Linked DNA regions of Oryctolagus cuniculus. The protein of the gene in region 2 interacts with the protein of the main gene of each other region in a biochemical or structural test. Links are inferred from orthologs where the notes say so. Each region holds a gene or a part of one and is shown on either strand. Other genes may lie near its edges.

The links.
Region 1: the proteins of STX4 (region 2) and SNAP25 form a complex in vitro, tested with the Homo sapiens proteins (3 studies listed by BioGRID). The link is inferred for Oryctolagus cuniculus from reciprocal best matches to the Homo sapiens genes STX4 and SNAP25.

What each region holds. Positions count from the first base shown.
Region 1 is NC_091442.1:35,230,517-35,234,429, reverse strand, and holds part of SNAP25 (synaptosomal-associated protein 25), read right to left. Parts: intron 1,712-3,913; coding exon 1,594-1,711; intron 1,428-1,593; coding exon of another isoform or gene 1,310-1,427; intron 1-1,309.
Region 2 is NC_091450.1:6,132,200-6,136,684, forward strand, and holds the start of STX4 (syntaxin-4), read right to left. Parts: upstream 2,991-4,485; 5' UTR 2,128-2,990; coding exon 2,098-2,127; intron 1,927-2,097; coding exon 1,825-1,926; intron 1,716-1,824; coding exon 1,616-1,715; intron 1,478-1,615; coding exon 1,403-1,477; intron 901-1,402; coding exon 830-900; intron 1-829. UniProt on the Homo sapiens protein: Plasma membrane t-SNARE that mediates docking of transport vesicles. Necessary for the translocation of SLC2A4 from intracellular vesicles to the plasma membrane.

The DNA.
Region 1 (3,913 bases), on a different chromosome or scaffold from region 2:
GTTATCATTTGGTATTCTTAGCCGTGGAGGCTGTAAGTGGATGGAGACTGAGTAAGTCACTGCAAACTAAATTGTGCTGGAAGAAAAATCATTTATAATCTCTGTTGTGATTTTTTTTCTTTGCTTTTGTTAAACGTGGAAGGAAGCAAAAGCGCAGTCAAGGATCCCATTAACTAGATTCCAGTTAGTCAGGATTTACTGTAGATCATTCTTTTAAAAACAAATTTTCTATTTATTTGCAAATTGAGCCCCTCCCCCTCCTAAACAGGAAGTGGGATATTTTAAATCAGCCTCAAAGTTTAAAGGATGCGAATGGTCATATAATCCACTAAAAAGGACATCAATTTCTATTCTATAAAGGTAGGACCAGGAGAGCTTTTAGGAAAAAAGGCTTCTTTTAGAAAGGGGAAGAGGGAGGGGTGAGGGAGATCGGGTAACAAATTTAATTTTCCAAATGCATGTTGGACAATCCACTCATGCATTTTGTTTTTTGCTACCAGTCATGTGAGACTATCTTCTAGAACCCTCAGTTTCAGGTTCCTTCTCTTGCAAACCTCTATAACCACATGTCACATTTCTGCTACATTCCAAAATAAGCGTTGCAGAACCTTGAGAACAGTTGAATGTTTTGTGATGTCGTGCATGCAAAATCTACACATTTCAACATTTCAGCCAGTGTACTGTTAGATCTTCCAAGGGGAAGAATTTCAGAGGGATGGGTCCAATTTGGGTAAAGCTTGAGCCCTTTTTGCCAAAGTGCTCATTGCCTCTGCATCGGGTGCAGTTGCAGCATCTCATGACTAAATTTGGCAATGGTGGGCAGGAGAAATAGGGGAATCTCTGTCATTCTCTTTTAAAGAATGCTGGCTTGGGCCAAATTATCTCTCTTTTCCTTCTGAAAAAATAAATCTTGATACATGTGTTTCTAATCTTCCAAACATACTCACTTACCAACTTTTCTAAATCCGCAGTTTTGGCTCTTGGGGTTGGGAAAAATATAGTTCCCTGGGTGCCTCTTTCTTGAGGCTTTTCTCTGTCTTAAGGTACACTTTCTGGAAAATGTTGAAACGTTAATCAATAAAAGTTGCTGACAGTGAAGCTTTCACTGTAGTATGCCTGATTTTTAATGCATCAACAGTAACTCCCACTAATATTATCTATGCTATGAGATGAATGCATTGGAGACGGTATTGATCTGTTCTGCATGCCACATGCTCATCCTGCCCATGAGCCTGGCAGGAATGAGCTTGTCAAGGCTTGGAGATGGGCCTTGGGAAACCAAAGCTTCAGGCAGGCAGGCAGCACCTACTTGTTACAGGGACACACACAAAGCCCGCAGAATTTTCCTAGGTCCGTCAAATTCTTTTCTGCTTCTTTCATGTCCTTATTGATTTGGTCCATCCCTTCCTCAATGCGTTCCAGTTGTTCTGATTAAACACAAGTATTTTATCCCCACAGAATGAAGCAGATGGAAAAGGACAAAGAAAAAAAAGACAAAACTTCAGACATTCACTTTGACATTAAAAAGAAAAAAAAAAGAAAGAAAGAAAGAAAACTGGACGCCACAGATTAGAGCTGGTACCCAGTACCTACTTGTTACAAGGACATATGAAAAGGCCACAGCATTTCCCTAAATCTTTTAAATTTTTCTCGGCCTCCTTCATGTCTTGGTTGATATGGTTCATGCCTTCTTCAACACGATCGAGTTGTTCTGGTTAGGACAAAGGGATGACAGTGTGGAATGAATTTTTTTGGGGTTTCCAACAGAACATGAGAAATGACTATGTGAAACGGAATTTGAGAGAGAAAGAGAGATTACAATGCATTGTTTCAAGAAGATGCATTGTGGTAGACTGCTGCCGCTCACCCTGAGCAGACATGAGTGGAAGGAAATGAACAAAATGATACTCAAAATAGTTTGAAATTCCAACATGATGAGATGAGTTTGAAGGTCTGTTTGATTCTGAGTGTCCAGGGACACAGCCCAGCATCATCACTTACTCAGACACCAGCGAAACCCCGGAGAAAGTAAAACAGGATGTTAGCTTATGTTTTAGGTACTCTGATTTAATGTCACTTGAGATAGCACCTGCTTCCTTTTAGATATGTGCACTTTTCTGTTTTTAAGCATCCTCAACAGATAAAGCTAGAAAATGGAATCCGTTTTCTTCCTTGAGGAAAACAGCAGCAGCAGCAGTAGCAGCAATAATTGGCAATGGGTATGGATCATGTTCTCCTATCAGTGGCTATCTGGTCATAGGTAGCCCACGGTCTATTCTTGGTTTGCATATTTACTTCATAGAAGCTGTGAAAAAAGTTACATCAGTACAGTGGCATTATAAGTACTGAAGCATTTCAGTTCCTCTCCCATCCTACAACTCACTTGTTATGAAAGCATTTCACTTCTCTGCTCTCTGATTTTCCAGTCTCTACAATGAGGGGGCATGCTAATTGCCAATCCCAGGCAAAGAGCAGGGAGGACGATGTCTCTTTGGGGATGGGAGGTGATGGATTGGAAAACAGAACAATTCTGTGTCATTACTGCTGGCAAAATTGACCTTAGTGTATCTAAGAAATAGATCGATAATCATAAGGACGAATCATACTTCTGGGTTGCTAGGGTTATATACTCCAACCTGATTAATTTTTCAAAAGCTGTGTCATCAAATTGAGATAACTACAAGTTCAATGAAGGAATTTTAAAAACAGCTTTTAAGACCATTAAAGGAGAGTAGCAATGAGATGTCTTGGTTGTCTAATTACAAAACCTAATTACATTTCCATTTTTCTTTTCATCTATATTGTCATGAATACATGTATGCTTATGCCTCCAAGAATAAAGGCATACCTAGAATTAAACTGATAAGCACATTTCCAGCCTAAGGGAACAAAAACATCACTTAAAAACAATTTCATGTTAAGCTGTACAGTAGCAATTGTCATTCCAAAAACTTAGATAGTAACCGAAGCTAAGGGGACCGTGCATTTAGAAAACAAGAGCCTGTTGTGTTATCTTTTGTGGGACTGAAGAATACAAATCAGCTTATCAGGAATCTGTTGCCTCTGCAATGCTTTTCAAATGACTGGGAAAACAAAATGTCAGTGTTTACTCAGTATTGGATACTTGGAGGAAATGAGAGTGTAGTGCTAGAGAATTTTTGCTGAATAAATAAAGCTCTTTTGGAAAACCCTCAAGTGCAGAGATAGATGGATAGATAGATATCACATATATAGAATTCTTTATGTTTTGGAAGTTTTTTTTCTTTTCTGAAGATGTCAATCTAGTTTGTTTTCAAGAATGCGATAAGTGAGTGTGCAAATAAGTGAGTGTGCAAATCAACACTTCAGGGGATTGTGGAAGGAAAAGGAGCTCAACATCAAAGAGCTCATCAAATGAAGAACCATCATACACACAGACAGAAATGGGGATGCCAGATCCCCATCAGATACTGGCAAACAGTTTCTAGGAGTGATGAGTTCAGACAGATTGGAGGAGGTGTCTGGGCTCAGGGAAAAAGAACACTAGATTGGACTCATGACAGCTGAAATGGGCACAGACCATGGTGTGCAGATACATATTCAAGTACTTGTCCTTCTTGAAGAGTTTCTCTCAAGTGAGAAAGCGAGTTAATATTTTTTCAATCAAAATATTAACTTCTGACAAGATTTCAGGGACCTCATCCACTGTGTGTGCAGGAATTAGGAGGAAACATATATGTAAATCACTCCATAAGTGTTAGACCTCTGAACTAGAGAAGTGAAACTGAAACTGAAAAAGAGCCAGGAGTTGAGTCCAGTGGTTAAGGTGCTGGTGAAGAAAACTAGCAACCCATATCAGAGAGCCTAGGTTTGATTCCTGGCTCCCACTCCTGACTGCTAGTACAGACCCTAAGAGGCGTTGGTGATGGCTGAA
Region 2 (4,485 bases):
ACGGCAAGCGTGCTGTGCACGCATGCGCAGACGTCACCAGGCCGCTACATGCGACAGGTCTGTCTGGGCCTCTCACACCCATGGCCACCACAGGCAACCCCTTCAATGCCCCATCTGGAGCCTCTGTCCCACCTTATTCCTTCTCCTGAGGGCTCCACTCTGCTCATTCCTCCAAGACCCTCCCTGAGAGACACACCTGCTCTCCTGGCCAACAGCTGCCCCTCAACCATCTTCATTTTCCATCTGGGGTCTTTTTGAGCTCTGGGCCCAACCTACAACAACCCTGACCTCCGAGAACCCCCAAACCACTCCTCGCTGGGCGCCAGGGACAGCAGTCAGATGACCTGAAAACTCCTTACTAAGATGTCCCCGCCCAGGGCACTTCCTATTCCTGACTTCTCCAATTCTGCCTGCAGGCCGAGGATGGCCCAGTCACATAGGCAGGAAACTGACCAGGCACTTGTGACTTCTCCAACTCCTTCCCTGAAGAGCCATTAGCCACCAACGCCTGCATGAGTAATGTCTTTTGTCCCCTACTCAACTCAAGCTCCCATCTTGGTTCCCGAGGAAACAGCCAAGGCTGGGTCACACCCTGGGGGACAGCAGCTCCTCATGGAGAGGAGAAGAAAGCAGGGGGTGCAAGGGACTGGGAATTAGGACACCTGCGTTCTTGACCTTGAGTGAGAATCTTCTTCCACGCCTGTTTGCCCCTTTGAAGAAGGGTTGGGGCCTGTGGTCTCCAAGGGCCTTGCCTTCAACAGACATCTGTCGTCTCGCGATTGATCAAACACTTAGGAAAATGCCCTGGTTCTAGGAGAAGCAAACCCACCTGAGTCTTTCTCATCCTTGTGTTGACCGAGTTATAATTCTCATCAGCTTCTTCCTTCTGGGGCTCGATGGCTGCGGGAAGACACAAGGCAGGAAGGGAGGAGGTAGGGGCGTGTTGACTCGTGATTTCTGGAAACCGGGGACCAGGGCACAAGAACAGGGTCCCTCCCCCAGCCACACAATGAGGAGGGACCTGTCTCCACGTGATTTGTAAGGGAAACGCAGCTTCATTGTAAAATGACCCATGCTAAGCCTCTGACAGGAGAAAGTTTATTTCTCTTTGAATTCTATCAGTGAGCTCCCACAGGTATGCAGAACCCCATCTGCCTTTGCAAAGAACGCACGCTGGACAGGCACCAAGAACTACAGGACTCAACAGTTTCATCGTAAATAAAGGCACGGGCTGTGGAACACGGCGTGGAAGCCAACAGACAGATATATATTTTTTTAAACACAGGCCTGCTGTGTGACCTACATATATCACTTGCCTCTCTGGGCCACACACTCTCCACTTATCCCAGGATCAGATCAGTAGGATCAGAGGAAGAATCTGCCCGCCTTCCTAGGAGCTCACCCTTGAGCTGCGTGCGGATCTCCCTTCCCAACTGTTTGATCTCGTCGCGCAGGTTCTGCAGGTCCTGTTTCATGCCTGAACAAGAAAAGACCACAACTTCCTGGGGGAGCCCCTGCCTCAGCAAACCACCCCGGGGCCACCACCTGCGTGGAACTACAACCCCCACAATCCCTCGGGTAGCGCATGCGTCCTGCGACCCGGGGTTTCACTCACTCTCCTCGGGAAGGGGCGTGGCCAGGATGGTGACCTGCTGCTTCTCCAGCTCCCGGACTTTATTCTCCAGCTTGACGATAGTCTGCCGAATTGTCCGGACCTGGGGAGGGCGACCGAGAGGGGCTGAAATTTGGGGCACTCCAGCCCGCGCTGGCCCTCAGTCCGCCCGCCCCCTCGCACGTCCAGGCTGCAGACCCCAGCCCCCTTACCTTCTGGAAGAACTCATCGTCCGGGCTTCCCAGCCGGGCCGTGCCCGGGTGCACCACCAGCGCGACCCGCTCCTTGTCCTCCTCGTCCGAGCTGTCATCCCCCTGCCAGGGCCACAGTCACTGGCACCACTTCCTCGCGGCGGCTCTCGCTCCCGAACGATCCACAGGCTTCCGGGACTTTCCTTCCTGGCCCCCAACCACCCCTCCCTACCCTGGGAGTCCTGCATTCCAGCCCGCCCGTCCATCCCCGACCCTGCTGTCCCGACATCTCACCTGCCTCAGCTCGTGGGTCCTGTCTCGCATGGCGGCCCGAGCTCCCTCCTCCCGGCGCCGGAGCCCCGAGGGCCTCAAGGTTCTAAGTTTGGAATTCCCGTACCCCACTTACACTGCGACACTCCCCTGCCTCGCCCCGCGGGCCCCAACGCCCCCACGAGCCGCCGGAGGCTCAGCCCCATGCACAAGCCACAGTCAAGGGCAAGCAGCCGACCTCCGGGACCCCCAAAGTTCCACAGGTTGGAATTCCCTTCTCTTGCCCCCCTCCTGCTCCCTGAGCCTCAGCCCCGCCCCTCTGAGACAATTCCGGGCATGCGCACGAGGTGGCGTCTCTTCCTCGCCCGAGGGAAAGGCGGGGCTCGGAAGCGGCTCTGCCCCGAACGGAAGCGAAAGTGCCTGGACGTGAGAACCCGCCCCCTAGTCCGGAACCGTCGCCTCTTTGAACGGAAATCTGGCAGCCAAAAGCGGGTGGCAATGCGTCACGAGTACGTAATCGCAGAGACCCGCATCTCACATCACCCCATGAGCTCCCCCCCGCCCTGCTCCACGTCACGTGACCTGCCCGGCCGCGGAGACCGCAGAACGGGAGGCTTTGGCTGTCACGTGTCCCGGCTCTGTCAACGCCGACTCTGGGACACCCTTCTCCTCACGACGTCCCCGGCATCTGAGTTACGCCCCCACAGACCCCACGAGGAGGAGCGGGGGCGCTGACTACCCCCAGAGAGCTTTTGAGTCAGAGGGGTGGCGGGGACCCTTGCAGATTCCTCCTTTCTTGCTTTTGGCTCCAGGGGGCGTGGGCAGACTGACGGCTTAGGATTCGGGGCTGTCGGCATCGTGGGACCTTGAAAAATCAGAAAAAGAATCCGAGCCGAGTCTTCAGCGTCAGAGAATTGCAGGGTTTTGTCGGCAGGGAATCTGGGGGTGGGGTTGTGACCTCAGAGCAGAAATCTCTCCTGCACGCAGCCTGTGACCGGTGGGCGGCCGGCGCTGCAGCCCCGCTGTGCTCACCGCCTTCCGGGCACTGAGACCATCTCAGCGCGGCGCAGGCTGGGGAAAGTGTAGTGTGTGCAGCCGCCTGCTTCTCCGGCCCTTAAATACCCCAGCCCCTACCCACCTAAGGCAGGGCAAGACCGCCTTGTTTTTCATTGATCCCCCCAGCGCCTAGTTCAGTGCCTACCGCAAAATGAGCCCTGCATGAACATGGTAGAGTTTTAGGCTTTCGTGGATCTGAAGAGAAAGCCCCTGTCCCCTGGTCCTTAAGCTGCAGGCTGGCTCCCCTTGCCACTTCCCTAGCCGCCAAACGTTCCTTCATTTATACATAGTTTACTGGGTGCGTTCCATGAGCCAGGTGGATTCCTACAGACTGCAGATAGAGCAGGTCTAACTAGTACTAGTGGCATTTGCACTCCCCAAAGTCGTTCAGAGAGTCTCAGCCCGGCCAGGAGTGAGTAACCGGACCCCCGGAAGGTTCAAGTGGAGTCTTGCTTCCTGGAACTGAGTTGCTACGGACACACCACTGCAAGGCCACTTCTTGGTTCCCGGCCTTGATCTTCCATCTGTACATTGGGTGGCACTAGGGGGATGGGGAGATGATCTCTATGGGTAGTCCGTGCTCTCAAGTTCAGCGACAGTGAGGTGGAAAACTGCTCAGTGGTGTCTTAGTCTGTGTGAGGGGCTGTGGATGCTCCGCTCCCCTTGAGACCCCTGCTGGCCTGGGGCTGGGAATGAGGGTGTGAGAGAGCGGTGCTGCCCTGAGCAGCCCACAGAAGAAACGCAGTGGTGGGGGGCTTTTCCCGGGGTGAGGGGGCGAACACCCTGCCAGTGGGGTCCACTGGAGACCGTGGGGGGAAGCATCGCTCTGCTCTTGCATCCTGCAGTTGATGCCCCCTTGTCCCCGCCTCCCCCCAGACCCTGTCTCTGAGTGGTACAGTCCTAGAGCTTTCAGACATCTTTTGGCTCCCAAACCAGCACATGGGCTTGAATGAATGGTTCGTTGCTCCCGTCTGGGACTCAGCTTCCCCATTTGATAACTTGATCTGCTCATTTCTGCTTTGAGTAAGATAAGCATTGCACGTTATCAGGTGAGGTTAGAAAGGGTGTGGGTAAAGCAGCTGCCTGCAGTGCTGCCGTACCATATGGGTGCCAGTTCAAGACCTGGCTGCTCCACTTTCTATCCAGCTCTCTGCTATGGCCTGGGAAAGCAATAGAAGATGGCCCAAGGCCTTGGGCCCCTGCACCCGCGTGGGAGACCCAGAAGAAGCTCCTGGCTCCTGGCTTTGGATTGGTGCAGCTCTAGCCGTTGCAGCCAATTGGGGAGTGAACCAGCGGATGGAAGACCTCTCTCTCTCTGCCTCTCCTGCTCTGTCTGTGTAACTCTGACTTTCAAGT